Coturnix japonica: one gene and its partner. The protein of the gene in region 1 purifies or fractionates together with the protein of each later gene. This does not show direct contact. Links are inferred from orthologs where the notes say so. Each region holds a gene or a part of one and is shown on either strand. Other genes may lie near its edges.

The links.
Region 2: the proteins of USP33 (region 1) and ROBO1 purify together in Homo sapiens (affinity purification with western blotting; 5 studies listed by BioGRID and IntAct, with this or other methods). This does not show direct contact. The link is inferred for Coturnix japonica from reciprocal best matches to the Homo sapiens genes USP33 and ROBO1.

The regions. Positions count from the first base shown.
Region 1 is NC_029523.1:16,712,024-16,728,958, reverse strand, and holds the start of USP33 (ubiquitin carboxyl-terminal hydrolase 33), read right to left. Parts: upstream 8,181-16,935; 5' UTR 8,109-8,180; coding exon 8,022-8,108; intron 6,952-8,021; coding exon 6,898-6,951; intron 5,947-6,897; coding exon 5,899-5,946; intron 5,801-5,898; coding exon 5,783-5,800; intron 4,962-5,782; coding exon 4,899-4,961; intron 2,446-4,898; coding exon 2,296-2,445; intron 1,117-2,295; coding exon 1,017-1,116; intron 1-1,016. Other genes in the region: MIGA1 (mitoguardin 1), read left to right, coding at 13,404-13,502, 14,591-14,768, 15,164-15,300, 16,609-16,735. UniProt on the Homo sapiens protein: Deubiquitinating enzyme involved in various processes such as centrosome duplication, cellular migration and beta-2 adrenergic receptor/ADRB2 recycling.
Region 2 is NC_029516.1:86,723,080-86,739,377, reverse strand, and holds part of ROBO1 (roundabout homolog 1), read right to left. Parts: intron 16,018-16,298; coding exon 15,893-16,017; intron 14,358-15,892; coding exon 14,186-14,357; intron 12,591-14,185; coding exon 12,385-12,590; intron 8,307-12,384; coding exon 8,225-8,306; intron 8,056-8,224; coding exon 7,887-8,055; intron 7,778-7,886; coding exon 7,611-7,777; intron 4,024-7,610; coding exon 3,902-4,023; intron 1,608-3,901; coding exon 1,376-1,607; intron 115-1,375; coding exon 1-114. UniProt on the Homo sapiens protein: Receptor for SLIT1 and SLIT2 that mediates cellular responses to molecular guidance cues in cellular migration, including axonal navigation at the ventral midline of the neural tube and projection of axons to different regions during neuronal development.

The DNA of each region.
Region 1 (16,935 bases):
TGTATATTAGAAAATTCAATGAAAAGTAATTTTTTTTTTTTTTAATTAAATGGATTTATTCACTAAGTTGGTAAAGGGTGTCTGCCTGAGAAGAAATACAGTCCTGCATCCCATTATCTGAGCCTGCATACTTTTAGTCCCTTCCAAGATGTACTACAGAAAGGGCAGTCATTCTTACTTAAACGTGAAAGTAAAAATAATCCTGAACTGAGCTGTTGAAATATCTGCAGCTATTTAAAAAAATATAAAAAAAAAGAATTTAAAAGAAATAAAACAATACTCTAACAAAGTCTTCCAGCCTGCAATGTTAGAAGTGAAGTTTTTGAAGAGATTTCTTTCCTTACGATGAAACACTCCAATGCTTAATTCATCAAAAACACACAGAAAGAATTTTTAGTTGTTTTTCCTTCAAATTTGAAGTGTATGGACATAATCACATAAATATTACAGGGAAATATAGCACTTTCTATTTGTATATTATTTCCAAACAATTTACATTTCCAGAAACATTCATAGGATTCTAAACTCATATATACACATTGGCAAGAAAAAAATAACTAGGAATAAAATACATAGTTTAATGAGTTTAGGGCAGATGGCAAATTAGTGGGGTGGTGATATATCCATAAAGACTGTGCCAGACAACAGAAGGGGCAAAGCAGGCTTTTTGGTCAATGCCAGCAGATTTGCTGGAGAGAAAGCTAGTAGCACATGAGTAAAGGAGAAATAAGATCCATATATCAGAATAACTCCTACCACCACTGATGGAAAACAAACTGCCTTACAATATGCATTAGGTTCTCAAAAGTGACACCTTAAAAGTTTACTGGTCAGGTACTATAAAGAAAATGATACTTAGAAATACTTTCTAACAAATATGCATATCCTTTGTGATATCAGTTGAACGTAATGAAACAATTCCAGTCAGAACCGAATTAACATATAGCTGGAAAATGGACTTGGAGATGGACATATGCAATAAAGATCAATAAAGGACTGCATTTCACTTTCATTACCTCTAGTCTTTAACTCATCCTCTTCCACTTCTATATCAAGGTCATCAAATACTGCTGATAATGGAATCTTCAGCGTGGGAATACTGGGTATTTTAAAATCCTTATAAGGAGAAAAAGAAAAAAGTATATGTATTTGTATCTACCCCTTTCCCTCATAACTTTGTCAATGAGTAACTAAAAGTGACTTAACGAATTTCAAAATCTTACTGTCCGTAAAGTGAGGATTTCACAATAGATTTTATCATGAAATAATACATCTTTGTTTTCACATTAGTAGCTACAATATTGCATGATTTTAGGACAATAGCAGAAGAACTGAAACAAAGCAAGCTATAGTGTTTTTTCCTTTGACAGAACAGTTATCACATCAAAACCACGGTTTCTGGTTTTGATCTGCCACCAGATGGCTCACAACATTTAAGAAAGGAATTAAACTGCTAGCAACAAAAATATACAAATGCAGAAACAGATTATTCAGCAAACAATTACTGCGTGACAAGCTCCTTTTGTGAGCTCATAAAAACTCTACACAGAGTATGACACAGACAAAGCCCTGATGATTTTTCTGTACATCATACCCATTTCTTCAGCAGAATAAAGCAGGTTTAGTTGTCACAGGGCACAAGTTAAGAAGTCTAGACTTTGCTCTGTATCAAGTCACTAGAAGTTCTAGTTAACAGATGTTACAATAGAATCCAGCAGTACAAGTGCAATTGGGATGCTGGCATGTACTAAAAAACTACTCATCTTTCTGTCCCACTTCCATCTTCAATAGTAAAACCCCACACACAATTTACATATCATCTTTCCCAATACTCAATTCCCCAGACAAGGTATTTTTAGAAATACTGCACTTCTATCAGTTTTAACCAAGCTACTCCTCAGTTTTATGGAAGCACATTAAACACAATAAAGAAATAACACCCATTTTCCAGACATATGATGAACAACTATACTTTTAGAAGAAAAAATGGGAAGCATAGGTGAACCATTCCCATCTTGTAGTCTTAAATTTAACCCAGTGCTTTTTCTGTACCTACAGAGATTATTATTGATTAAAAAACAATCAGGCTATAAGATGAAAACAGCATTCTCAGGAAGTACAGATTACACAATCTGAACATATAAGGCTGGCATTGTCTCCAGAAAAATTTATCAGAACAGAGAAACAAGCAGAAAGTATAGTCACAAGAAATAAGAAAAGTCAGATTCACAAGAGAAGTCACAAAGTTTATTGTAAAGATACAGCTGATCATTTCACTGGGTTAAAAAAAAATACCTGCACGCTATTTTCTTGTGTTTGAGTCAGCCTTGCATTGGGCAATGGAGAATGAGATCCTAATTTTCTATCCAGGAATACTTCCTTACTACAGGCGTAACACCAAACACGGAGCGTAGTAAGGTTGACAGTTAGACAGTGCTTTGTCTCCTAAAACAGGCAAAAAAAACCAAGAATGTGATTCAGAGATTTAGCTTAATTAAATAACAGAAGTATTAAAATACTGGATCTTTCAATAATGAAATAATTGTGCATGTTAAGATACATAGTATTTATAGCAATTTGGTTAGTACAGTTTTAGCACATGCGGCAACACATTATTAGCATAAGCCAGTCAAAGTAGAAACAACATATAATCAGTCTCCAAGCTGCTGTCATACGTGTGTGAAATGCTTCAGCGTAGTTATAAAAGCAAAAAGACTGACTGTATTCAGAAGAATTACATTTTGCATTAAACTCATTTTCCAGGTCTGCCATTGGTTGTAAGAGCAATCTCCTCCCACACAGTAAGGATGATGTTTTATTCTACTGGTTTGCTGTATAAAATTCAAGCCATTGGTTGCTTAACAAGCAATTAGATCTCAAGTCAGAAAGGAAAAAAATGGTTTATCGTATTTCAGTTTGTGTTCATATCTTTGTGGGTCTGATCTTTAGTCCATTTATTGTAACAGTTGCTCTTATCAAATTCTAGACCCAATTCTAGACTCAATTAATTCTCTATATAACATTATGGACACACAAATTTTTGATGGACAATATCTCCACTGTTGTAACTTCCACCTTTCATTCATGAATTTCTTTTCCTACTGTAAGATCACACACATAACTGCTATTAAACTCCAAAGATTTCCACCATCCTTCGCTGTATGTGGCAGCACTGACCAGCTTTAGATAAGAAATTTTCTACCATTAAGGAAAACAATACCACAGCTGCAAGGATGTCTGATTTCCAAGTACCCTCGCTTAATATGGCCGTGTAAAATAGCGTTTTGTAACATTAGATGTGGACTATAGCTTCATTAAATAGCCCTCTAACTGCACTGTGACTTCTTTATAACACTTTAAATGAGGGCTTTAGAACTAGGATTCACTTAAAAAACTTGTTAAAGAGGTACACTTGTATACAGATTTACATCAATCCCACACTGATGTCCATAGACATGCAGTCGACACTGCATCAGAGGAAAAAAAAAAGACAGGAGTGGGGGTGAAATGCAATCAAAACATACTTTTAGGAGCAAGCATCCTATTTGTTCATTAATAATCATCACTTGGTTGTTTGTTTTCTTCCTCAGTATTATTAAAAACCAAAAATTTCACAGTGTGCAGCCCTCAATTTATTTTCTATGACAGATGAACTGCAAATTGGCAGCAAAAATTTAATCAGAAAGCCAGTGAGTAGGATGTTAATAAAGCAACCTCTGTTCCTAGTATATTCATAGAATGGCATAGGTTGGAGGGGACCGTAAAGATCATCTAGTTCCGGCCTTGCCATGGGTAAGATTGCCAGCCACTAGATGAGGCTGCCCAGAATCCCATCCAACCTAGGTCTCCCCAGAGCCTTCTCCAAGCTAAACAAGCCAAAATCCTTCAGTCTTTCTTCATAGGAAAGCTGCTGCAGCCCTTTGATCATCTCCAGGGCTCTCCTCCTGTGCTGGGTGCCCCAGGCCCAGACACAGTACTCCAGATGGGGCCTCACAAGGGCAGAGCAGAGGGGGACAAACACCTCTCACCTTGCTGGCCACCCCTCTGTTGATGCAGCTCAGGGTACAGCTGGCCTTCTGGACTGCAGGAGCACACTGCTGGCTCATGTCCAGCTTTTTATCTATCAGGATTCTCAAATGCTCCTCATATTTGTTAAGAAAAAGTGACATAGCTTATTTGTTCCATTTTGGCAAAGGTTCCAGTCACACATGTATGTGCACGGAAGAAAACGCGAGTTTAAGATCCAAACAGATGCACTCAAGCTGGTCAGCCCAGCCAGAACTCAGCACGTTGTCAAACACAGCACACACACACCACTGCTCTACCAACCTGGATCTAAAATCAAAATCTAGCAGGAGGACGTGTCCAGCTTGATTTACAGGGTTTTTATCTGAAGCCACTACAACAGGGACCATAATGCAGAAACAAAGCACCAGTTTCATGAATTAAGAATCACTAGTTTTAACATTCTTTATTCTGTATCTTCATCAACACAACTTCCCTCCTCTCGTTCATCAGGCAACCACAATCCCATGAAGGCAGATGAAAGCATAGCATAAAACTTGAGGTACTCAAGAAGCCTCTTGTCTATAGATCTTGAAAATTATCACTGCTTATTTGGGTGGTTTTTTTTTGGTGTTTATTTTACTGTTCCTTTCAATTTTCACCACAGTCTTTATAGAAGCTCTGGGGTCAGAATTACATAAATAATTACACAGCTGCAGAAAGATTTTATTCACACATCCCTAAGCTAATGAAACATGATCCTGTAAGTGAAAGAAAAGCAAAAATAAGGGATTATGCCAATATATGTTATCAACTTCATTAAACAGGGTAAGAAAGTTCCGTAATTCTACTTCAGTGCTTCAAGCTACTGAGTTACTAACAAATGCACTTACCTGGGAATGGATGGTACTGTGATCAACATGGGACTCGCCACAGCCAACATACGTACATCTGTTCTGTTGAACAAGATATGAAGAAGTACACAGAATTAAAAAGTGGCATCAAACAGGTTTACAGAATAGGAGCACACAGCCAGTCCACTTCAAATGCACTAATATTTCAAACTTTCAGGTTCCTACAGAAACCAAGAGACATGCACGCTAAGTGTTAAAATAAATATTACCTAAAGCTAAGCCAGAATGCTGCAAGATTTAACTCAACTCCTTAACCTGGTGGAGAGCATAAAACATTTAGTATTTCTAAAACGTACATATTTTTTGCCATTTTGATATTTTAGTTCAGATTAAAGTCAAAGTACATTTTTACTATTCATTATTTGACAGAGACTGTAACAGAAAATATTAAGTTAGCTCAGTGTCCAAAACACTGAATCACAACAGACTAGAAGCAGGACATATGTACATAAAAATGCCTTTATATCCTTATATACAAGGCCTATTCTTCATAGAATTATCTCACTGTTCATTGATTATTTACCTTGAAATAAAGGTTTCTGGCATTATGTGGTTAGGCGCTCACTACATTTTACTTAAAAGATCTAAAGCAGTTTTTGATTTTAATTATTGAGTTTAGCTGTGCTAATTTCAAAACATATTTGGCTGAGTTGAATATGAAATCTCGCAGTTGTCAATCTTCATTAATTCCTCATTTGCATGAGTCAAGACAATCCTTTATGAGGGTACGGCATGTTATCTGTATAGTGCTCTAAGCATGTTAATTTATGCAATCAAACTGCAGCTGGACACAGTCAAATTTCTGCATTAAATTATCACAGGTGATGGTTAGGTTACAGATAGTTAACATGCTGGGATCTCACCATGTGCTGGCTGCTTTTCTATGCACAAAAGGTGAAGACAAGATGTTAATTCATCCAAGAGGAGATGTATCACAGCATGAAACTTTAAATGTACTACTGTAATCAGAAAACTTAACTGGAACTGTTGGTATGAAATTAAGTTTTTCAATAAGAGTCCAAGAGCTCTAAGTGAGAAATAAAAAACAAGCTTTAAGCTTCACAGCATTTCCCCACCTGCCAGATTCATGCATCCCTCAACACCTCTTCCTATTTGTCTTCCTATTGCCAAGAGGATTTTTATATGCAATTAAACTTCAAATCATTTAAGAAAAAGACATTAAATGTGGCTGTTTTTCCCCCTCCTTTCTATCTTCTATTGACGGAACAAAATCTGATCTCTTCACCATTACAATACATTTAAAAGGTAAATAATGATGTATATTTTTAAAAGCATTCATACATGCACCTATAGGTTTCCATCTCAGCCTAGAAGTCTTCCTAACAGGACTTAAACAGAGGCTGTCAAGAAATGAAGCCAAGCCTTTACAGTAAAATATCAAACTCAGGAAACAGCTCTAGGCTTTAAGAGCTCAGAAGACATTTTAAAAACTAAAGCAGCTTCACAATCTCCTGTCGGTATGGATAAGAAGCAGAGAGAAAGAAGAACAAGGTAACAACATACTTTAGATATAACTATACATAGCTTAAATACAGTACAGAAATTCAGCTAAGTCTGAAGAATGCTTCTACATGTTTAAAAAAAGGGTGAGAGTGTTACTTATTTTTAAGAATCAAAATTCAGAGTATCTGTTTTGATAGCTGTAGGAAGCCAGCATATACTGCCAGCTATTAGTATTAAAAATCGTAAGAGAAGGTTAGAAAAAGTAGCTTAATTTATTCAGGTACAATATATTATCTTAGGGTCTACAGACATAATGGAAAGAGTTACTTTTTAATTTTTAAACCTATTAAACAAGAAGAATCCTTAATATGCTGGCTTCTTATAAAAAACCTCATTTCAAACACAATAAGTTACAAGAAAAAGAACTTCAATAAAGCTGTTCCTTCCAACAACATAAACACTACCAACCTTTAGCTGTAGTCTTCTAGAAAAAGATTACAATTGAGCTACTTACCTCCAAGCATGCCCAAAGGTTGGGTCCTCTAACTTTACAGTCCTGACAGGTGCCCTGTTCAGTTAAAAACACAAGCAAAGAACGATTTTTAGTTACGGTCATCAGTAAACCACAACCTCAAGATGAACTGAGAAAAATACTGCAAGACCAACTATTAACTGTGTTTCAACCATCAGGTAATTCTTAAGGTGGAACAAAAAATAACATTTGACAACTTTTGTTTCTCTTAACCCAATTTTAATCTCTGTGTACCTAGTAAAATCTTACAGCTCTGAGATTTCATCTGAAGAAATATTCCTCTAAATAAAACATAAATACATTTCATGTCACATTATCATCAAAATCAGCCAGTCTTGCTCATCGATTTAAAACCCAGAGAAATGAAAATGGAACTTATAACACCTGCACATTCCTATTTCCATACATTCAACACTCCCTCCAAAGGTTTCCAAAGAAAATATGACACTGGAGAAAAGCTATTCCCCTCAGCAGCAAACAACTGCTCCCCTTCTACAACCGTGGACAGAAAAGGTTTAACTTTTCATCACTTCCCCATTATTAAAATGAGTTACAAAGTCTTTTGATCTCTTTATTAATACTAGCTAGAAACCAAGAGTTCAGACAGGTTTTCAACCTGTGGCTCCTTTATCAGAAAGTAAACTGTGATCCAACAAAAACCAAAGTATATATTCCTCCATTTCACTCAAAACATCAGTAATACTACCTACAGTAGTACCTACTCTATAGCTACACTTCCACATTCTAAGTAACTAATTGCCACAACAGAATCACCTGAAGAAGTTCTGCTTATCTCTTTTAAGTGATATATCCATTAAAGCAATATCGCTTGCTTTTAAAAACACTGATGGGAAATATTACTTTTAAATATCAAGTATGAAAAAGGGCTTTCAGCCTTAAAGTCCATTATTTGTACCATATTTAGTTTAAACATTATTACAGCAGTGCAAAAAAGATTTTACTGCATATTTAGTTGCTTGTTGGGTTTTTTTTTTTGGTTTTTTTTTTTGCATTTAATGCCCAGTAATACAAGATGAACTGTGCAACTTATTCATAAGGATGCTTAACTGAGATAGGAAGGAAGGAAGGAATGTGCTACAACTCACATGAGACTTCTGTATCAATTCTTCTTTTGTTATCTCTCCAGCTGACTCCAGGTGTGGACAATTGCTGCTGAGCGATGACATTTTCATATGCTTTCTTTTGCAAGATCCAGACCCTGGGATTTCCACGACCAAGAATGCACTTTTCAACAGGAGCGAGAATAAGCAAAACCCAATTCCTTACAGTGTGCAGCAATAGTAGAAATCTAATATACAATCTTTACAAGAATATGCATTTAAAAAATGTTAAAATAAATAACTTATCAAAACTGCGGGAATCAGCAGTCCAAACTAAATACAACTGAGTTGTAAAAAATGCAAAACACTATTTTTCTGAGTTTTAGGGTATAAACCTAAATGAGTGGAGCAAAGTCAGTCTGGCTGAACTACTCATCTTCCTGCCTTCAACCATGGCACTCAAAAGGCAAAAAATGAAAGTGACAGCTTTCAGGCCTACCCAGGGCTGTATGTTTGGAAAGTGTTATTACACAATACTGCTCAAGTGTGCTGAAGCCACATGACCTACTTGTCAAGGCAGAAGGAAACTTTATCTTGCTTTTATTTATTTACACAGACACATTCTAGATAGCAGATACACGATATATCAAAAGCAAGCTGAAACTTGTAACTCACATGTAGTACCAACTGCCCAGCAAACTTCCCTCTTGCTTGAGTTCTTCCTGTCCATCCAACAACCCTGATGCAGACACACAAACTTATCAGAAACAAGCAATGCTCAATACATTCACTTTTCCATCATTATTTCAATTTTAAAAACTGAACATGGCTACATTATGTTCACATAAGTACTCAGTGAACTCTCACTCCCATTTTGCCACTTGAACAATTGCTATTGATGCCCTGATCTCTTAAGCCCAAGAAGTCTTACATTTTCATTGCCCAATTATCCATCCAATCTTGCTCTCCTTTACCAAGGCATGCAGGAAAACTTCCAACCTAACTCAGCAATGCACTTTATTCTGTCTGCAACCTTATGCTTTGATCTCCACTTCTCATTTGCTCTGGCAGCTCTAGACCTGTTTCTTCACCTGCATGACCAATCACTGCTTTTAGTGCTACGTAATCCCAAGGCTCTGGCAGCAGAGATTGGGAACAAAACTCTGCTAAGCATCGCATACATACTTCCTAGTAAACTTCCAGCTTTTTACCTTTTACTTGGTCTTCATTTCTACTCTCCCATAATAAGACATTTGTCACTTCAGCTTCCTCTGATTACTGAAGACAGCTTTTTTGTGTTCTTAGCGTACTATATGAATGCTTTATGTACCGTGATTATATATTATACCTATAAAAATAATGTAAGGCATATGAAGATATATATGTCATATATATATATATATATATATGAGTGTATATTTTAATATATATGTGTACATATATTCAACATCTTTCAATCTTTTTGCACATCACAGCTTTATGATAAAATACCTGAGATCACAAGGCTAGAAAGACAACAGTAAATAATTTGGGATTTTAGACCAAATAAAGTCTAAATTCTTTTCCCTGATTAATGGAAGAACCTTTAAAGGACACTGTTATTGAATATAAGTTGCAGATGAAAACATATTTTCTCAGCTTGTGTCCATTTGCAGTATTGCTGAAAGACTTCAAATACAAAACTAACAGTTTTTCAGGCAAAAAACTCATTGACTTTGTCATACTGGAAATTCTGGTTTGAACTGTAAAGTTCCTTTCTGGAAAGGAAACAGAAAGATTTATGCACATTTCGTCTTGTACGTTTCACAATGTCTACACAAGTGTTAAAAATGGATGAGTGAGTTTCAAATAAAGTCTTATCTTAAAAGACGTCACGGTGAATTAAAGCTGATTTAACACAAATGCCTTAGAAGGCTTGGTATAATAGCTTACTAAAACCTTGGCTTCATTACTTTACAGAAGTATATTTCTGAATGAAATATTCCAACCAATACAGAGCAATGAATGATGAACTTCATCTCATACTACCAGGTATCTATTCAATTGCTCACTATCAGAACTGCAAAACCAACATAAATAAAAAAATCATGTAAACCATCACAAAAGCATGAACAATATTTTAAATATTATCAACAATTTATTCGTTATTCAGCATAATTCCATGGCATTGTAAGACTTGTGTGCTGACTAGCAGGGAAGGCCTGTCATATACGCATAGAAAAAACATTAAACACTAAGAGTTCAAGTAACCTTGAAAGCTTACCACAGAATTTCTTAAGAAACAATAGATTGTAATTTTTATTTATATATAATATTTATTTATAATTATATATAATATTGTAATTACTTGTTTGTAATTTTTTAATTGAAGCTAGAAATCAGTGTTTCCATTCATCTAATCACAGTAGTTAACACTGTAACAATGTTGAAATAAACAAATATTTCCATTCAGCTGATGTCCCCAGAGCCTTTTAATCAGATCATTATACAGGGCTGCTCCCACACACCTGAATACTCGCCCTACGAACTATATAAATAAACTAATTTGAGAAATCAAAAGATAATTGTAAAAAACCTAATCTTACATAAATCCCAGCCGAATAAATCGTACATTTTGTAAACAAAACAGAACTCAATTGTGGAATGTTGGGGGAAAACAGAACAAAAGGATTATTCTGAAGACAACAGCTGCCTCAAGCAGTAATTGTATCTTCATTATAGGCTTTAATTACTGTGAGGATTCATCTCTGAATAACAGTGTATTTAGCCAGTTAGCACTAAGCTCAGGGCTCTCCATCTACACTTGGGGTTATTTCACTACTGACACACTGGAACAGTCATGTTTATTTTCTCTTTCAATACTAATAAGCAAGAAGAGTGGTACAGGGACGCGATTCTGTATCTGGGTGTTTAATTACATAAACAGTAAAGAGCTCTGTAGCTTTCAGTAATTAACTGCTACACAACCAACATCACCATCCCCTGCAAACTGCACACGCCCTTTGCCTCAGATGTATGTAATCAGATGTTAAAGATGCACATTTTTTTAATCAACATTCTAAATAATTCTGCGACAACCTATTACTTTGCAACAACAATGCGTGCAACACAAAACAAAACATCTTCTTTTTTATTAATCTTGAAAAGGTTTGGTAATAAAACAAATCTAATCAAAAGGACCAAAGGAAGATCGCTCCTTAGTTTCACATCCTACTTTCTATTCTGTTATCCAGTCCATGGTTTTGATACCTTGTCCCTGGATCCAGGCAACAAGAGTTACTCACCTTACCAAGTCACTTTCATTATATGTTTTGCCTTGTATTGTTTCATACAATCATTAAGGTTGGAAAAGTTCTCTAAGACCATCCTGTAAGACTGTAATCTACCACCAATACTGTCCATTAAATCGTGTCCCTATGTGCCACATCCCCACGTATCTGGAACACCTCCAGGGATGGTGACCCCACCACCTCACCGGGCAGCTGTGCCACTGTATCACTGCTCTTTCTGAGAAGAATTGTTTTGTAATACACAACCAATACGAGATCTGAAACGTAAGGAAGGAAAATGTGTGTCTACACCCACACACTTGCACTATCATGCATATGGCTATGGCCTACAACTTAACCAAGAAACTTAACCAAGAAACTATATATACACACACACACACACACACACACACACACATATATGCATATATATATATATAGATAGATAGATATAGATATATTAACATCGTTCTCCTTTTTTACATGATTCTTAGAATCCTGATTAACATGATTCTACAGTATCACCTATGACAGTTTAAAAAATTCCTTTTTTCTCTGGGAAGCGTATCTTTAGAATTAAGCTTGAAAGCAGGCGAGCTAACCACAGAGTACAAGCATTACACCGAAAATTAAGTCATAACTGATTAACTGAGTACTGGAGCGCTAAATCGTCGAAAGGACATTAAAAAAAGCTCACAGAATCACAGAATGAGCCGGGTTGGAAGGGACCCCAAGGATCATGTAGTTCCAACCCCCCTGCCTGGCAGGGCCACCAAACATACACCTTTACTAGATCAGGTTGCCCAGCTCAAACTGGGAGTTAACCCGCTTATAAGGTTACACAATACTTACGCTATGTTGCCTTCTAAAACCTACAGCCTGCCCATCCCCTTCTCTCCCCACACACTGCCCAGCAGACAGACCCGGAGCACCGAACCCGCGGGGAAGGCCCAGCCCGTCCTGTGTGTACGGTCACAGCGATGGCTGGGGCCAGGCTGCTTCACACTCCCAAGTCCGGACGCAGCCACCGCCCGCTCCCCCGCTTCCTATCCCCCTTGGGGCGCACAGACCACCCCCGTTCCTCCTCTTACCGATCCTACAGCCGAGCCGCGGCCACTCCGCTAAGGACGCGCCTCAGGCTCCATGGATATCGCTTCCACACCCCGCAGGCCGCGGCGCAGAAGGTGACCGCACAGCGCCGCACCGGGCCGGCACAGCGCCCCCTGCACAGGCGGACCAGCGCCCACCGGACAAAGATGGCGGCGGGAGCGCTGCCCCGCACAAAGATGGCGGCCGCAGGCTCTCGCCCCGCCCGGCCGCCTGCAGGGGAAGCTGCCCTGCCAAAAGATGGCCGGCGCGGGATCCGAGCGGGGCGGGCTGTCCTGACGTGTAGAGGCCGCCTCACGACCGACCTCGGCCGCTCCGCCCGGAAGCAGATCGTTGCCGTCTCCTAGCAGCGGCGGGAGCGGGGAGGGAGCCGCCCGCGGGGCTCGTGGCTGCAGCTACAGGTAACCGAGGGCGGCACCCGCCGGGTCGCTTTGCAGCGGGGCTCGGCTCGTAGCCCGGCTTTGGGGCAGGAGGGAGCTCTCGCTGTCACCCTGCGCTGGGGCTGCGGTTGGAGGTTTGCGCTGCGTTGGGCATCGGGGAAGGGTGGTGCTCCTCACCGAGTGAGGTTACGTCAGGCTGTGGTATTTATTCCTTGTCGAGTGTGTGTAGAAACGATGCATCTCTCAGCGAGAGCCTTCCTGTCTGCCCACGAACTCTTTGAGCTGGTGGATACGGTCCTGCTGACAGTAGCGATCGTAGAGCTGGCTTGTGTATAATTTGGAGGATATAAGCAATGAGCTTTTAGGTAATAAAGCAGACAGCCCTCTGCAGGTCCCTGCTCACACACACAGCCCTTTGCAGAGAGCAGTTACAATGGGCTGGAGCTGAGCTAGCAGTGCACTGTTTTTTTCACTAAGCACTAATCCCTATGCACGAGCATCTCTGACAAGTTATGGACCTGTTATCTGGGGGCAGCAAGCCTGTAAAAGAAAGTTGTCCTGGGCTTGCATTGCATAATTCTTCATCCTTCGTTTGACAGTATTTAGAGGACATCTGCAGCTGATGTTTTCAACGTGATTCAACTTAATGAATTGATGGGAGAGAAGGAGCCATGTCAGAGGAGGCTGTTACTGAAGCACGCTTTTCTCTGAAGACAGTGGCTTTACGGGCATTTCACCTTCCTGTGTCCTGGTATCACTCTCTCACACAGGTAATGTGCACATTATCTGAGTTTTGTGATACATGGTTAAAGTTTAATTGTAATATTGTACTCACTTTTTTTGATATTAATATGAGCTAAAATTGTGAGGAGCATCTTGGCCTTAGTAGCTAGAATAACGATTTCTTTTATCCTTTCCTGCTGATGGTGTATCATTGTATATCAGATGGCTTTTTCTGCTATGTTTGTCCATCTTCATTTTGTACAATCAAAATACCTGAACTGTCCTTTTCTGTAGAAGTTTTAGGTAGTTAAAACTAAACATAGCAGTTGGTTAAATTTGGGGAAGCACTATGGAGTGCAAAGCAGATCAGCAGTACCACACTGCAAGTTCATCTATATGATAATTCTTTAACAGAAGTAAAAAAAAAAAAAGTGTACTTCTCACTACTGAGTTACTTCTGCTTGATTAAATAAGTGACAAATTACTAAAACAAGGCAGTGATTCTTATGAAATATAGAACCAGATCCTTTTGTTGTTATTATTTTTTGCTGTTTGTGTTATTAACTACAGGATTTGCTTTCATAAATAGACTTTATATGATGTATTTCATTGATACTGTGCTGTATAAATAGCAGCGTGGTTAGCAGTCCCTCATATTTGGGTAAAGACCGCATTTATTCTGACCTTTGTTTTCAAGTTGGAAGGCTGTGAGAGTTGTGAAGCTGATGCTCCTTGTATGCAGGGAATAGTAAGATGTGTCCCTGGAGCATCCTCATGACACAGGCAGGGGGAAGGTGCTGTCATTACATTGTAGAGATCCAGAGAGAAGAGATGCTAGTTGCCTGTAACCATGTTTGATAAGCAACAGAGCGAAAAACATCAGAATTACTTGAAAATATTAACCTCAGAGAATAAGTATGTTGAAGAGTAAGCCACATGGATGTCCCACTAATCCCTTTGGCTCTCACCTGGCCATCACAAAATTTGAGAAGTAATTTGTCAATAATAGTTTCTCAGGGTATGTGAGAACAGAATCTCTTAGTTACCCAGGCTGAGCACACCAAAGGAGTCAAAGGGGAAAGGCAAGAGTTAAGAAGCATGGGATTCTAATGAAGTCATATTCTTTAATTTTCAGATAAAACTTTCCCCTGGTTTAAAGAAGCTGTTCACAGTCACAGCAGTGAGTGCAATATCTGTCATTTTTCTGGCTCATCATTTCAAAAGAAAACGTGGAAGGAAAAACAAGCAAGCATCACAATGGGAGCCAGGTCATCTACTATTAGAATGTACCAAAGCAGCTGCATCAGAAAAAGGTACACGAAGAAACCTCAAAGTCTTTTTGTCTTGGGGGGAAGAAAGGGATGTGAAGGGGTAGGTGTATGTAACAGTATATGAAGCAATTTTCCTTTAACATTGAGAAGGTTTGAACTGTTTGAAGTAGAAACTTAAAAACAGAATTATTGTTTTATAAGTTAGTCTTCTTGATGTTAATGTTTCAACTGTAAATTTGAAACAATATATATATATTGTCAATAGGATACTAACAATTGGATTTGCAGTTCTCATGGATGTACATCCATGTACATGATTGTTTGCTTCTGAATTGGATTTTATTGAAAAGCTCAGAAACAATTCCTTGCTAGTTCTTGCTAACATAAGATTTGCTAGTTTTAAAGCTTCTACAAACTGAAGATGTTGTATCTAATAGGTTCAAGTTGTTCCAGTAGCCGACAAAACTTGACTCTTTCCCTGAGTTCCGCCAAGGAAAAAGGATCACAGTCATGTATCTATGCAAATGGAGGGCTTTTCAGTAAATACTCTGGTTCAGTTCAGAGCCTGGTCTCCGTAAGTAAAAGCGTTTTAAGGCATTTCAGTGTCTGTTGACCTGCATTGGGTGCACATGTAATGGTTTCACTGAGCTGAAATAACTTTCCTGAATAAGGTGTGTTTACCACCTCTGAAAGCTGGAGGGTCTGACTGAGCAGATGACCTCCTTGTGGAAGAAGCTACGATACCTTCTACATTGTGAAAATAGCTTTTCATAGATGTTTATATAACTGTAAAGCAAATGGAACGGCCCACTGATTCTGTCCCTCTGACCTTTCCTGTCTTGCATTTAACAACTTCATAAGAATCCAGTTCCGTGAGATGGAATGAGCCAAAGCTATGCTACTCAGTGCAGCCAAAAGCAGGATTCCCCTTGTATCCTGCACTCAGTTATACATTCCTATGTGTATGTGTATATAAATAAAGGTAATATAAATATACATACACAGCTTCAATGCATTTTAGACCTTTTAGTGAGTCAAGTGAGTTCACTGACTTAGCAGTAAATCACTTGTAATAAATCAAGATTGAACGCTTTCTTGTTAGGTTAGTGATCTGGATTCAATCTCCAAACATTAGAATTCACACATGAGTACCAGAAAAACCTGAACAGAGAGAGGTAGTGAGACCTTCTCAGCCACATCAGCTCCTCCTAGACTTCTAGTCTGGAACAACAGGTCTTGAGGATGCTCAAAAACTTCCGAAGTTGTATAACTCACTGGCACAAATGCCATCAGAAGAATAGTTTAGTATATTTCAAAGATGACAGAAAGAGAAGAAAAGTAAGAACCACTGAACCCTTAGTCAGTATACTAAAATAAATGAAGGTTCCTTGTGCTCCTCAGCTACATTGTAGATGCTATGGTTTGGAGTCTTCAGACTGCAGATTATCTTTGTTTCAGTGATCAACAGCTCTAATTGGAAACTGTTTACAGAGCAAGAAGTTTAATACAGTATATCTTCAGTGGTGTTCCTAGAAAGTAGGTTTACATCAGTCTAGACAGCTTTTTATTTTTGAGACTTTCCTACTTTTTAATAATCTATGGTCAGATTTACTGGGAGAACAACATTGTAGATCAGTGATTACTTTCATATTTCAGAAAAGGAGCAACACAGACTTCCAAAACATTGCTGTTAATAGTAGGGTGTGTTTTAAAAAAAGGAACAATTCTAATTGGCCTGATAATAACTACACTTCCCTAAAATCTTTTAAGAGGTGATCTGTAGGTAAGACTTTAACCATAACATACTCCAGTAGGAATGTAATCTTAAGGATACTCTGTATAACACTTCTAAATCTTGTTTTTAAATTGTATTTATTTCTAGGTTCAGAGTGCCACCTCTTGTCACAGTTGTGCGTGTGCCAATTCTAATTCCTGGGATAAAGCAGATGAAGAGGATATTAAGCTTGTTAATATTCCAGTGACTACGCCTGAAAATTTATATTTGATGGGTAAGTTATTATAAGAATATGCAGCATCTACCAGCAATAAAAGTAGATAATTGTTTTTATGACAAAGTGGCACGTGCACAATATTATTAAAAGTATTTTTTCCCCAGTGTCCTGTGGGCAACTAAGAACATATCCATAAAGTTATGAAAACCTACTTAATCTAGTGTTAGGTTTTGAAAACATAGAATTTTGACTCCTAT
Region 2 (16,298 bases), on another chromosome or scaffold:
CTTGAACCATTCCATTCTGGTTATCCTCGGGGGGTGGCTGCCAGGTGACTACAATTGCAGTCCCATTCCCATCATTTTTAGTTACTGAAACACTCTGAGGTGGAGCACTGGGCGCTGTTTGTTTGGGGAGAAAGATTGAATGGTTATGTTTGTCAAATGCAACAGTGAAGGATTTTAGTTTTCTTTTTAAAGGAAAACTGGTTTCTGGGCCACAAAAATGTATTATTTTACTCCCTAGCTTTTTGAAAGTGCAATTCATGCCCACAAATTATAATGATATTCAAGGTAAGTGATCTGAACCTACAGGCAGGCTTCCTATTTCTGCTGTGCTGTTTCTGTAAGACAGAAAAAGTCAGGCAGCCCACCAGACACTCCAAACTCAGATAACAATTACCTGAACAGCACAGAATTCTTGAAAGGGTTTCAAAGCATCTCATCCATGATCAACAGTATTAAAAAATGAAATCTGTAAACAGATCCTAGCAGAATGTTAAACCTCAGCTGCTCTACTGTGTGAAAAATAGTGAGCAATACAAACCTTATTAAAATCAGAACTGAATGTATTATGCTTAAAAGATTTATATTTTGAATTTTAAATAGTTTTTCTAAAAACAATATGCTTAGATGATGCTTGGGATGAATGCGATTAAGCATACCTCTTGAACCACCTACAGAAATAAACAAGAGCTATACTGTATTTACATCAGGTAGTAAAGAGATAAGGAAAAAGGTATCACATCCCAGCAGAGGCACTGAAATCCCTATTCTGAAGCACATACTTATTATGCCTGAACTACCAGATGAGCTACAACAAAAGAAACAGCTTTATGAACCTTCTCTTTTTAGCATGCGTTTGAGATGGAAATACATAATTTAGTCCACTATATCTGTTGCCCTCATTCATCTTTTCATTTTGTATTACTGATTGATGCAGATATAAAAGCCTTCTAAGAATGTGGTTTCCATTCCCTCAGCTACAGTGCTTTGATGATTTCTGCGGTGTCTGCTATCTACTCAAGATAGTGATTAGTAAGTGCTTGAATCTGACAGAAGTCACTTGTGACCAGACCATGAACTCAGCAGGGAGGAGTGCACACTGCAGTGAAGATAAAAAGCACATTTCCCATTGTGTGCTGGAGGAGGGTTTTGCACATCCCTCTCTCTCTCTGTCTCTCACACATGGTTCTGAATATTTACTTCGATGTCACCAAACAACTCACTTAATGATCAGTCCAACACATTCTCCTCTGCTACAGACTGCTGTTCTCAAACAGCACAAACTTCAAACAAAATCAAATAATGAACATATCAGAGAAAAGCAGACCAGAATACTACTTCAAAAAGGAAAGATGAAGACAGTCTGGCTCCTACTTACCTTCTTCTAGGGTTTTTGCAAATTTCACTTCACTATCTGCTCCTTGAAACTCATTAAAAAAAGGGCGGGCCTTGATTTCATAGTTTACACCTTTCTTCAGCTCTGGAATGATAACACTGTTTTTGGTTGGAGTCCTCACTTCAAAAATTAGCCATTCCGACTCTCCATAGGATGCTGGTGTTGGCCGGTACAGGATTTTATATCCTTGAATGTACTGAGATTGCTGGTCCACCTGGAAAAGTAGCAGAAAAACAACCTTTACAACACATTGTGCACTTTTTAATAATTTATTAAACAATTAGGAATAATTTATTAAACTATTAGGAACTGTGCATGCTGTCTGCAGCATTAGTCCTTGGTCTCTCCATTTATTTTATTCAAAATAAACAATGCTGAACTTGATACAGGCTCCTTGAATTACAGCAAAGTATAGGACTGATTCAAAAGAACATTAATATTGATGCCGGTTGAATGGCACCAGTTTCGGTGGATTTATGGAAGCATTAAAGAGAGATAGCAGAATTGTATAACACACCATGGCTCTGTGAAATGAACCACGTTTACATTCATGGAGAAGCTGAATGGAGTCAGGAGAACTCAGTATAGACTTTGCCCATGCAAATGTGCTCTGCAGAATTGGTCAGGGAAGAAGACCAGGGCAGGGGATCAATGGCTCTGATGAACACAGATAAAGCACCAAGTGTGCCAGCTCTCCTGAGGTGTGAAGCCTCTCAAAATTCAGGAAATGAGCACTGTTTCCTGCATGCTTCCTTCTGGAGTAAGTGATTTAAAAGGGCAGCCAACTGGCACTATCTGCTTTGCTCTGATGAGGCTGGAGGCTGTTGAAGGGCAGATCTGCCCAAGCACTTCCTCGGCGTTCACTGACTCAGCAGGAGCCTCCTCTGTTGGAGGGAAGGGGCTGTTTTAAGAGGGCTCTTAAGATGCTTACAAAATCAGCATGGCAATAAGGATGAGACTTGGAAAAACAGATCAAAATAATATGGTCCCAAGGGATTTAAACTAAGGCCATTTTATACTGCATGTATGGAGAAAGAAACCTTAATGTAAATTAGGATAGGGTTCAACGTGTTTGGCTGTAACCACAGCAGAAAGTTATCTTGCAGAAGTGATCTCTTGCACAGCATTAACAACAAATTTCAATTTCTGATGAATAAGAAAGTCCAAATGCAACAATAAGAAGCCTTTAAAAGGGTGCACCAGATTTTCCTTATTTTCAAAAATCTCACACAGTAATGTAATAAAACCATTTGCTTGCTAAGAAGAAGAAAAAAAAAAAACACCTTTCATTTTTAATAAGCGCATAAAGAATGCATGTGTTAGCTAAGACTGAAGTAATGCTTACTTTTAAAATTGCAGAGAAGCCACAGGCCACCCAAGGAACTGACAAAAAAACTGGCTGCCTGGAAAAGGTTGTTCTGTAAGTAAAGGTCAAACAAAATTGTGCTAGGAGCCTCAAGAATGTTTTAATGTTATTAGTTAAAAGAGGAAATAGCACAGCGCAGATGGCCTTGCTGCAGGTAAGTGGATGGAACACTGCAGATACTACCTTGTAGTACTGAAGAGCCCTGGTCATAGCTAGGGCTCTTCTACAGAGTAAAAATGTCTTTGCTCTTGCTCATGGCATGGCAGGGGCTACATCCTGTGCTCTGACTGCCAATATTGACTTGTTTAGATGGAAAATCTGAAAAGACTTCAAAGCTCAATCCCATTTGATAAATTCCTGCACTTGTGTAACTTTCCCCCATTTTTTGTCTTCATTATATGTTTTTTTTTTTAAACTGGTCTTATTTTCATTGTATTTTATTTTCTTGTTTCTTACTTTTGATTTCCTATATTGTTCTTTCTTTTTCATTTCTACTTTGCTTCAGGACTTCTACAATATTGTTTCCTTAATCTCCCATTTCCCTGTTATAATCTTCACATGATCAACTTCCTGTTTCCTCCTGTCAGAACAACACCAACAGAACACCTCTGAATTGTTATTTATGTCTCTTCTATTTGTGCTACATGCATTCATAGCACTGTGGGAAGAATAGTATATTCATATGACAGTATTTTGTTTTGGATGTGTTTCTCAGTACATATATAGGATGGAGGAAACACTCTGAAAGATAACTATGCAGTATTTCCCTCCACTGTTGTCTGACAGATGGGGCTAGCCACATTATCTCATTAGGGGACTAAATACACTTCCTACTGAAAGCAGTGCAAAGGCTTCAAATGATTTAACCTAAGAAAGCTTAGGATCAATTCTTTAATATCCAGAGGAGGACTTCGGAACTCTCACCATATTATAAGCAACATTCTCCACAGGGACAAGAAATGTGAAAATGGGACAAAGTTCTATGAAGTATGAAAACAAAGCCCTAGTAGTACTTACTAAAATGAAAAACATTGCCAGTTTTTAAAAAACTACACAGCTTCTTAAAGAGTGACTTCACAGTGGTGAAACAGTACACTTTAGCAATGTATGTAACTACCTTCATGATGCAGATTTGTACTTACTGTCCAATGAACTTCAATTGAGGAGGATGAAAGGATAGTAGGGTTGTGCAGATGTAGTACCACATCGCCTAGTTCTCTCTGTACTTGCTTGTGATCCACACCTTGACTTGTTGGTGGAACATCTGTAATAATTTAAGATTCAATTCCCACAAATATATGCAATTGTTAAAATAAGTATATATAAATACAAATAAAAATATCGTAAAACAAAGGAAGTTTTCATCAGTTAAAGTTATCACAGGTACTCTCCAGAAACATAAGAAAAATCTACAGAAAGTTTTTACTGAGTTAATATACTTTGACAAAAACAGGAGGAAGAAACAGGAGGGAAATGATGGATAAAAAGAAAGAACCATATTCAGAGAGATCTTTGGAAAATGACGACAGAAGCATCTCTTTAATCTTTCCTGCCAGAAGGAAAAAAAAAAATTCTATTGCCTGCTCCAAATTCCATTAGAGACCACAAAAACTATATGAAAGGGCCATTGTGAATGATTTGCCTTCAGGTAAATTAATTGGCAAACTTACTATTTTTAGTTACAAAAGAAACAAAAAATGTAGAAACTAAAAGGATGTCACATAGCTAAACTTCCACTCTGATAGCAGGAGACTTCTGTAAACAGAAGGCAGAGCACAGCTGAGCGTTGTCATGCTCTTCTGACATTTAGTCTATCTTACAGCTAAAAGAATTGGACATATACATGAAGGGACAAATTCCTCTCAAAATAGGCAGTAGGACAATGGAAACCCATTTCTGCATGCAGTGCCTTTGAAAAGAATACTTATCTGAAATTTAATGACTGTCCTAGACATATATAAAATTTATAGGGCAGTCACTAACAGAGTGTTTCAAATATACATGTACAACAGACAGCGGAGGAACACAGTCTCTATATTGATTTCATATGTTTCCCTTTGATCACTTCATTTTAGAAAATACCTTGCTGACAACCGTTAAAATCACAGACTGGGGAATTCAGTGAATGTATTTTTCTTTTCTTAATACAATTCCAGATACAGAGTAATGCATTACATAAACCTTACTCAAGCCTACTACTTCCTCTGTCTCATCTCCTCTAGACTAGAAAACCTTCAAGGATTCAGTTCTCGGAAGACATTGGTAAATTCCATACCTGTCTGCTCACTAGACAGGCAAAAGGGAGTACAAAGAAATTGTGTATATATCTATTACAACTACTGCAATAGTTCCTTTTTAAAGGTACATCTTACAATTAAATGAGAAAGATGGGAAGCATCCTTTTTGCATGGTAGTTAAACTCTCAGTTAAAGTTTTAAGCCTTGTCTAAGCAATATTAAAAAGTTAGTAAGGCTGCACTGAAAAAAAATATCAGCGTGAGAACAGCTTCTCAAAAATACAGTTCCCCTTTTGGCATATAAAGCTGATGCCACTTTGCAGTCTTGTCACATAGCTGACTCAAATATCTGCAAAACAATGAGATCTCTCTGAAGTTAATAAAGAAAATTGAGATTACCATGCAATCAGTAGATGACAAATACAGATTCTTAGAAAGGAATGCTGATTACATTAAAAATAAATAAATAAATAAATATCACAATATTACTGCTATATCTATTATTTTCTGCCTAACAGTTCATTTAACGGAGCATTTCCCTTCCCACCATTTCTTTAATGCTTTGAAAGCTCTAAAGATAGAAAATCGTACTTGGAGTGTTGCCTAAATATCAACTTACTTGGAATGTTACAGGAAAGTTAGTTTAATAATTAGTGATATTTTCACTACTAATTATAAAAGATGAGTCATCAACAATATGACTAAAGCGATTAACAGACTCAGCAATTTTGCAGTTCTGTGCTACAGGACTATACATCATCTATTCTATGTTTTCTTGGTTAGTCTCTGAAGTTTCCAATACAGGGACTGTGAGTGAGAACACTTAAGCATGTTTTTAATGCTGGTAAGGTCTAAAGGCTGAGGTAAGTTAGATTCCTGATCTGGACATAAATTTAAGACAAGGCAATAAATTTCTATGAACAGAAGTTAAGTGGGAAATTTTTGAACTAACTTACAAGCTCAAACTGAAAACCTGTGGAATGCTACACTGCATGAAAAACTGACATGTACAGAACACTGCAGCTCACCTGCCCACACAGTAACACGTTGTTCTTTGAGGCAGTCCTAGGAAACTGTAATTCCTATTTTCTATGCAGCTATAACTATGCTGTCTATACATCCACTGAAATCGTTACCAAACAGAATAAATGCATAATAACAAACAATAGGAATATGAAACTGCCTACTCGCCACGGGAGAAAAACTTGCTTTCTGACCAACTTCAGAACAAATGAAAAGTTCCTAAATGAAGATTTTTTGTTTCCTTTATGGAACTTCCTTCCAAAAACAAACATGCTTAATTCTGCAAACAAATAAATCAAAATATATCACAGGCATCTTAATAAGCCAATGGATCAAATTCTCTACTAAAGCAAGGAAAAAAAAAAAAAAAAAAGGAAGATGACTTTTGTTACTTTTTCTTTGACAAACTTTTTTTTTTTTTTTTTCCCCCTATTTAATCATGAAAGCATTCGCACTGGAACAATAAAGGCTGCAAAGTTCATAGAATCATTTCAGTTCGAAGGCACCTTTAAAGGTCATCTAGTCCAACTCCTAAGTAATGAACAGAGACACCTACAGCTATACCAGGTTGCTCAGAGCCCTGTCCAGCCTGACCTTGGATATCTCCAGGGATGGGGCATCCAGCATCTCTGTGGGCAACCTGTGCTAGTGCTTCACTACTGTTATTATAAAAAATATTTTTACTTATCTCTGATCTAAATATCATCTGTTCTAGTATGAAACTATCTCCCTTTGTCCTATCACAACAAATCCCACTAAAGCATCTAGCCCCTTCTTTCTATGGCCCCCCTCCAGATACTGAAAGGCTGCTCTCAGGTCTCTTTGGATCCTTCTCTTCCCCAGGCTGAACAGCTCCATCTCTCTCTTCCTGGAATTGCAAATAATTATTTCCTGAACACTACCCTAAGTATCATTTTCTACAATGAATGTGAACTTATTTAGAATTTTGTATAGATAGATCAAGTCCATAGCTAGACTTCACCTGTAGCTTCAGTCAGCAGGTGACTCCTTCACAAGCTACTACCCAGTTCTGTCTTTCACTTAGCTATCTCAAAGTATTGTTTCTCCTTCCTGCTGTTTGCTTTCAACAGCAGTATTACTGCAATGCTTTCAGTACACTGCTGAAAGTTCTTTAGTGACTCACAATGCCCAGTTCCTTCAAATTTTAAATCTCTTTCTTTCCTAATGCTGTAGAAGCCAAATTAGATCATATGCTGTTTCTGTCTCTAGTTCTAAGCTTCATTTGGTTCATTGGACACAATAATAACATTTCCATAGAATTTAAGGATTTGCTTGATAACTTCAAAAATCAGAGATCACTTTTGTTGCTAACAAGAGCTATTCTGTAAGACATAACTATTTTTGGATAAGAGATAATATTAATCCCTTAGGCAGCACAATATGCTGTCTAAGCAACTTTTAGAATTTATGTTACAGGGAAATGCAAGTTTAAACAATGTATTTCACTACCTAACATATAGCCCAGCCAGCACAGATAGTTAAAAGCTAGCAAAACTTCTGCATCCAGTCTTTCTCAGTCAACTTGTAGCAGCCAATGTGGACACCTAAAATGTTCAATACCAAAAGCTTACCTTGAGTTTTCACTGGATCAGATATTTGGCTTGGGTCACTTAGTCCATATGCGTTAGCTGCCCTCACAAGGAATAGATAAATTGCACTAGGTTTTAGCCCTTTCACTGCAAAACTCTCTGTTTTCACATTTTCAGCTACAGTTTGCCAGCTGCTACCAGATGCATGGCTAAGAATAAAACACACATAACAGCAGGTTAGCACGTGCTTCTTTAAAAATACATTATATCATTATTATATACAAACTTAAGTACAGCAAGATCACGAGACACATATACCTGAAGGCCTCAATTATGTAAGAGGTTGGCGTTGCACCTGAATTCAAATTAGGTTGCCATGACAATGTTACTGTATTTCTGCTGACATCTGTAACCTCGGGTTTAGATGGAGCACTAGGAATCAAGTTTGGGTCAGTGGGTCTTGGTGGCTGCACTGGGACTCCAAATTCTAACAAAGGAGAGAGAAACGCTGAGTACAGACAGACAGGAAGCAGCTGTAAGCTAAATGCTACTCACATCTGCACTGGTAATTTATGACAGTCAGGTAATTACTGCATTTCAATTTTTGACTTTCTTTTATGCATTTACACCATGCAGAGAGAACATAATTGATTTACCTTGGACCTCTATGTAGGCACTCCATGTAGCTTCGCCACTTGGGGTTGAAGCAACACAGGTGTACCGACCAGTGTCACCCAGCTGAGTGGGAAAAAGAGAAGAATAAATATTTGAAACAATCAGGCACTCAGTCGGCTAGAAAAGTAATTATACCTTTGTACATGACTCTATGAATATGAATAAATCTTCTAGTCTGCAGAAACTTTGAACAAACTTCTTACATTAGAAGGAATCATTTTACATTATACAAAATGAAAAGGGTTATGTTTCTGAGTATTCTTTAAAAAAGTAGAAATGTTGCATATTCTTATTAAACACTGCCCATTCTGAAATCCACACACTGAAGACCAAGTCTTGTAGCACTTACTCCTTACTCTGTAGAGTCCTCAAGAAATAAATTGAAAAAGAACTTAGATGTCAAGATTCCCATACACTCTTCTGCCTAAGTAATGCTTAGGGACTTTCTGGACTGATGAGCTGTAGAGAATGCTGTTCCTAAAACAAAGCTTAAATATTTCACAAGGCCTTTTACCTACTGGTTTCTTTGTGTTAGTATAAATTTCACTCTAAGGCAGACCCCCCAAAAATATCTCCGTATGCTATTCTCATCCACTTCTGAATGATAGCTTACTTGGCACTTAATTCTGTAGAGAGGGCCATAATTTAGATAGCTTTTGAGAACATCACTGATTTTGTGGGACTGCTTTCTAAATTTCTAAAATATCAAATAAAAACACAGGAACCAAATAAAAGAACAGAGGGGTTGTACAACTCCTGCTTTTGTGATCAGCAAAATGTACTTCTTTTTCTATTGGACCTGCAGAGCACCTTCTGGGAAACATAGCTGACATTGCCAGCGCACACAGCTACTCCCTTACAGAAGCTGTGCAATTGAAATAAAAGAGCATTTGCAAGAAATCGTGACACAATGGCAAGAGAATGCTATTTTCTTCTATTAATGGTGCTGATTTCCACTCCCATCTGGAGAACCCAAGGGACACCAAGGAGTCCAGAAGGGAGTGATTCAGGGGACGACACAGGGAAGGGAAAGCAAGGTCTGGACGAGGAATGTTCCCCTTCAGGTACAGTTTGATTTGCTCCTTGACTCAAGTGAAAATACCTGTGGCTTTGTGCAGGACCAGCAACAAGGGCAGGTCAGCAACGCCTGCTCTGGCTGCTGCACCAGATGGGCCACAGGCACTGCACAGTGATGTCACCATGACACATGGGCACCATGGTGATGTTTGAGCCTCTCCCCCTGGAACCCCTCAACAGTTCTGTGGGATTTCACTTGCCAGGTGACAGGGCAAAGGGTAGCTCCCTGCAGAACTAGCTGAGAGCACAAAACACGGTCTACTGAGAGAGTAGATAATGAATGCTCGTTTCTGGTTCTGATCCAGAGGGTCCAGATGCATCCCTAGGCTTTCCTTCTGATTTTCCAGGTCAGGATAAAGGAACAGCCTGGGCATCAAAAATGGATGAAAAGGATGTACTAACTCATCCTCATTAGGAGGAAATCAAATGTACACCTCATGCATCTTACAGGGAAAGCACACATGGAGGCACTGTTATCTCTGCAGCCCTCACTTTTCCAGAGAAACTCTGGGTATTGCAGAAAGTCACCAATTTAAGAGCATTTGGTGGGGTCAGAATGGAAGCTGCATTACAATTGACCAAGAAATGTTTCAGATTGAAGTACTGGGAAAGAAAGGATCTTTGAGAGTTTGGGACAGAAAGCATAAAAAGCTTTATTTGTCAACTTAATGTGTATGGATTTGCAAAAACTCAGCATGACTCCAAAAGATCTCCCTCACTTCCTGAGTTTCTGGCAGAGGAAGAGGCATTTGCAGCCCACAGAAAGGTACGTCAATTGCTCCACACATGAACCAACTCTCATAATATTCTGGTGGAAGAGATGGAGGGTCCAATAAAATAAGCCTCAGTAATGGAGGAGATGAGAATGACAGGAAATATTCTGATCCTAATTTGTTCCTCTGGCTGTTTGCAGGAATTTTAGAGGTAGCATTGCTGAGTACTAGAAATGTGGGAAAAAATATATTTGGGTTTTATCCAGTGAGTCTGAACCCATAAAACAGAAAGATAAATAAACGAGAGTATTGTCTATTACTTCAGCATATCTTGCTTTAGTCATCCTGAGCTGTAAGTTTAAACTGACCAATAGACATTTTAATACCCATGTTTGTCTTCAGCAATTAAAAGTTTAAGTTTCTGTACCTCACTGTCTTTCAGTCTCAAACTGATCACAACTCTTCTCCTTTGCATTTTGCAGTTACTCTGCTACTACAACCCCAGCTTCAAGAAAGAGTACCCAGAGCTGCTTGAACTCAACAAGAACAGAGTTGCCCTGTAGATACAGGAGAGCAGCTGGCATTCTAAAATGGAACCCAATGCACAGCAGGAACAGCAGTACCCATTTACAGGTTTATAACTTTGTATTTCATAGACAAATATTTCTGGAAGTAGGATGTCTGAATAATAAACCCTTTCTATTGCCATGGCCTTTTCATTCATCCAGGTGAAATTTCAGATCACATTTTTATTTTTCTTCAAAAAATGTAGAAACAATGGTTCTCTAATGTCAAGGTAACAGTCTTCTGTAACAATGAAGCTCCAGACCCTTAGTCATAGAGGGTAACAGACTGGTTGATGTTTTCATGCTGCATGTGCTGAGAATGCTCATCCTAATGATGTCTTCTGAGAGCAAAAGGAGAGACTAATTAAATAACAGCATTTTAATTATTGAAGACTCATAAAGGGATCACCACCTTCATAGAATGACTGCTCACAAGACAGTGCTCTACAGTGCCAGGCAATAATAACTTTTGATTTAATTTCCAGGCTAACATTTACCAAAGGTTTGAGAAACCAAGTGCTTTGTAGAAGCCTTCTCTGGAAAATCAGAGAACACTGTTCAGAAGACCTGGAAAGATATTTGGTCTTTCTTGTTACAGAAAGGTTATTGTGGATAAAAATCTGATAATAGTTCTAAAATCTCATTTCTTTACCATCCTCAACACTATGCATTGTACCAAGAAAGCAGTGCAAGAAATAATTGAAAACAGCATAAGACAGCACTACCACAGCCTGACTGTTGCTCTGGTTTCTTTCACAGAATCATAAAAATGCTTAGATTGGAAAAGACCTTAAAGATCACTGAGTCCAACCTCAACCTAACCATACTACCCTAACTCTAATAACCCTCTGCTAAATCACGTCCCTGAGCACCACATCAAAATGGTTTTTAAACACACTCAGGGATGGTGGCTCAACCACCTCCCTGGGGAGCCTATTCCAGTGCTTAACTGCCCGTTCTGTAAAGAAGCTTTTTGTGACATCCAACCTAAACCTCCCCTGGTGCAACTTGAGGCCATTTCCGTTCATCCTGTCACTAGTGAGAAGAGACCAACCCTGTTCTTACAGTGTAACTGGTAATTAGTAACAGAACAAGTCTAGCAAAAGTAGTAAAGCCATGTATTTGGCCTAATTTTAAGAATTAATACATTTCAAACCACATAAAAGATAATAGAGAGTTAGTAGGCAAAAACATAATGTCATTTTAAAGAATTTTCCATTTTGCCAGGCATGACCAGCAATACTGACCAGGAAGAACAGGCACTTGCTACAGTTCCCTAAGAAAGCCACGTATTTGACGGGCATTAACCATTTTAAGGCAGGGCTATACTATGTTTATAAAGTAAAAATATTTAAATTATAAATGTTATATTCAAAAATCTGTGAACATGACTCCATAACTGCAGTATCCTTAGCAGAGGCTTCAAATAATTAGATAATTTCCATCTATCAGTGATGAAACTCAACTTATATAAGGATTCATCTCACTGAAATGTAAGTTTTTCTTCTTCCTTCATGTTTTAAGTAGCAAATAATCCCCTTATTACTTAAAAGCATTTTTCCATTGAAATAATAGGCCCTAGGCTATACAAGACATGGTGTAAAACTTAAGGAATGAACCATCTGAAAACTTAAAGTATCAGATATTTTAATACAATTATTTAACATTTCATTAATTTTAACTGTAGTATTTCCAATATGAAAAAAAAAATCACCTGAAGAGAAATAATCAACAGACAACAACAACAAAACTCAGCACAAAAAAGAGCTGGCCAGTTCAAGCTACCTTGGCATATCGGATCTGTAATGCTCCTGTCTCCAACTGCTTGATGCGAGAGTCCTGGGTAGAGACCAAGATCCCATCCTTTTTCCAGAGTATAGTGGGTGTTAAAGTGCCTGTGGCCACACAGTTTAGTACTAAAGTACCATCTACAGCTACAGTCTGATTCACAGGACCCTGTCGAATGACAGGGGGAGGCCGGTCTGCAATCACTGCCAGAAGAAACAACAGGACATAGATTTCTGTGACTGGAAGCAATTTTCTAATCATCTAAGCAACAGCAGTTGCTTGAGGCTTTGTAACAAACTAAAGATAATTAAACAAGTAATTAAAGTTGGAGGCATGCATTATTCAGGGCATGGTGCATCATAATGATGCACAGCTACAGAATTTATAATGATATACAATACATTAATTTCAGAAGGGAAAGAAGAATTACATATTACATAGGCATTCTGTAATTGCAGTGTCTTCATAAAGTGATAACAAAATGAGAAAGGATTTCCCAATGGTTTTGCAATTCAGTTTTTACCTTGTTCATTTTTTGGTTGTTTTGTTTTGTTTTTTACCATACAGAGCACCTGTGTAACAGAATTCAATACTTTCAAGATTCAGTGATAGATATTAAGCAGGTAGGCAGACATTGAACAAAATGGCAAATATCTAGGATATATATGTATATATTTTTTTGTCTTAAATACTGTGAACCATCAACTTATTTTTGCAGTTTCCTAACTGGGATTTGCCTTCCAGTAGACTAAACACAAAGCTAATGAAAGTACTGTATCAAAACTTTTCAGCTAAGAATTATTCTCCAGTAGTTTCAGATTTCCAGTTTTATGATAACTTCACCTGCAATACTAGCTCAAAACTATATGGAGTAACACACAGTGTGTTTGCACTAGTTTTACTGCATCTTGCAAACAATGAAAATGAAATGGTCTTGATATATTATTTAATAACTATGCAAAGAAAAGTATAAATAATTTCAGCATTCATAGAAACAGAAATATGACTATACTTTTTTTTTTTCTTTTCTTTTTCCCCCCCCCCAATTGTTCAATGCATAATCAAGAAAATAAGTAAAACCTATCTTACTGAGTGACCTCTCTCTTTCCTGTATCATTCAACATGACATGGGCTGTCGATTTAGAAGTAGCCATAACTTAAAGTGACATAACTGAGCTTAGCAGTGCCATGGGTATTGATTTAACTTAAAAGCTAGTTTGGTTGTTGAAATATAAACCTGAAATTCTGAATTTGAGAACATCAGATATTTCTAGGTTATTTTCATACAGGGTGTTGGCAATGGGTTTTTTTGGCTAAGTTCCAACTGTTGTAATTTCATTTGCATGTTCAAATGACACTTGACATTTTCAATTGCTTAATTTACCTTTTACTTCTTGTCCCAACCTGTTGTAATGTTCTGGAAAGCACTGTGAGACCATTAGTATCTTTCTCATCAGAGTAAGTCAAACCTAAGCTCACACATAGTTTATATTTAACTATGACAAGTGTCTAAAGAGCTTTGTGTCTAAAGTTGTGTTGTTACACAACAAAATGGCAACACACAATATCCAAAATTGAAACTCATGATAGAGATGCCCCAAACAGGATTTTAGGTTCAAAAAAAACCTGCATGCAATATGTGCTCATGTAAAGCAGATACTAAAATAACATCACATACTCTCACTGATATATTTAAATAAAAATAAAAAATAAAAACTTGGAAATGATAAAAAAACAAAACAAAACAAAAACACACAAGCAAACAAACAACAACAACAAAAACAAGGGATATCATTACCATCAGTAACTTCCAAGTAGGCTTTTGTTATTATGCTTCCTGCAACATTTAAAGTCTGACAGATGTAGTACCCAACATCAGACCGCTGAACATTGGTGATGGTGAGGTCTCCTGTCTGTGAAACTGAAAATCTACTGGATGACTGAGGGGGCTGGTATGAGAAAAGCAGATTCTAGAAGGTGTTTAGGAAAGAGAGTTTAAAAAGAAGTGTTAAATAAATTCAGATATTAATAACCTTAAATATACATAAATATATATAAAACATATTGCTCTTCAAACCTTAAGCATTTTTGTACACAACAAGAATAGCTTTTATAATTTTTTTTTGGTGATAAAATAGGCACACATTTGCCCTGATTGTATATGTCTTTCAGGATTGCTCTAATAATTTCCTTAGTCAGTACTGAGCTTTAAGCAAACTTTAATAGGCACTAGCAAAAAATTAATATGTACAAATGCCAGGATGGTGCAAGAAACTGGTAAACCTAAAAAATTTGCTTCAACATGTATTCATACAGGACATTCCCTTTACTGTATTTAAAATGCAAGAAAAAAAAAAAAAACAACAAAAAAAAGGTGGTGCTTCGTTTTTTGTAATCATAGTCTTTATATTCTGTAACAAACCTTGAAATACATAATTTAATCCTAAACCAGTTTCTAGTTAAATAGATAGTTTTGGTATTAAGTGCATTGTATTTTACCAGAAACGGCCTGAAGTGAAACTGCAAACAATGCAGTATAATTATGTTAAATCAAATATTGGTTTAAAATGTACACCTTTGGCTGAGCAAGGCTATTTTTCATCTCTCTTTCTTAAATTTATTTTGAACTTCCAAAAATCATCTGAAAGGACGGGGCACTAAGTTCTATTTTATTATTAGCAAACCCTAGTTACTGACATCCTCCATTTCCTCAACTGTTAGCGAAGAAATCTAGGTCATACAAAAATGTAAATAGCACCAGCACACTTTTACAGTTAGAGACTATCCTCTGTATTTGCTTACACATTTGAACAGACATGTTCAATAAAGAATCTTTTGCATCACATCATCACATTCTCTCCTAAAAAAAAAAAAAAAAAAAAGGAAAGAAGAGAAAAGAAAAGGAAAAAAAAAGCCTGAAAGAAAACTGTGATTCTCTTGATATACACTATACTTTGTTTTATTCACTGGCTTTCAAGATTCTTTACAAAGAAGCTGATAATCATTATTCCAAATAAGGAAGCTGGGTGAGAACTGTGAGCTAATGGACTCAATGGAAAAATAGACCTCCTTAATTCCAAGTTGTTGTCCTGTTCAGGCAGTGATTAAGTGGAGCAAACCATTTATTTACCAGGAAGACATATGCAATTGGCACACTAATATCTGCACCATAAAAACAGACAAATTTTCTGAAAATTTAGGTGTACTTGGGAGTTAAAGCAAATTTTGGCATTAATGATCTTTTTGTCTCTTAAAATGCTTCTACTTGCTTCATAAATTTATTGTTACATTTCTGGAGAAAACTGGTGACTAAGCAAAAAATATTCTTTCTAGAAAAGTTGACATCATGTAGCATACATGTGCCTTGAAGAAGAGAAGAAATACCAAACATCTCCAGGCTTTGGAACTATTTTCCACAACCTAAATACAAGAATTTATAATTTTTTTCACTTGCGTAACAATATCAAGAAACTGCTAGAAGGAATGGAGAGGAAGTCTGTTTTACCTGACTTCCCTCCCTCCGCCAAAAGATGGCTGGCTGAGGGTTCCCAGTTGCTTCACACTGGAAAGTCACTGTTCTTCCCAACGCAGCTACCTGGTCACGAGGCTTTACAACAAACTGTGGAGGCTCTGAAAGGAGAAAACATCATTAGAAAAAAAAAACAAAAATACTATGCTACAGTCAGAAGACTGAAGTTAGCTTATGTGAAAGCTGCAATTTGACTGCTGACTTTAAATGGTATATACTACAGTATTCAGGTGTTTTCAGTATGGACAGATGGGACCAAGGCTCGTGAACCTCTAACAGTCACAGCTTCATCAGCTCTCAGATCGCCTTTGCTGTTACTGAATTCAGACTGTGCACAATTTGATTTTTAATATAGTGACCAGCTGTACAAGAAATTAAGTCC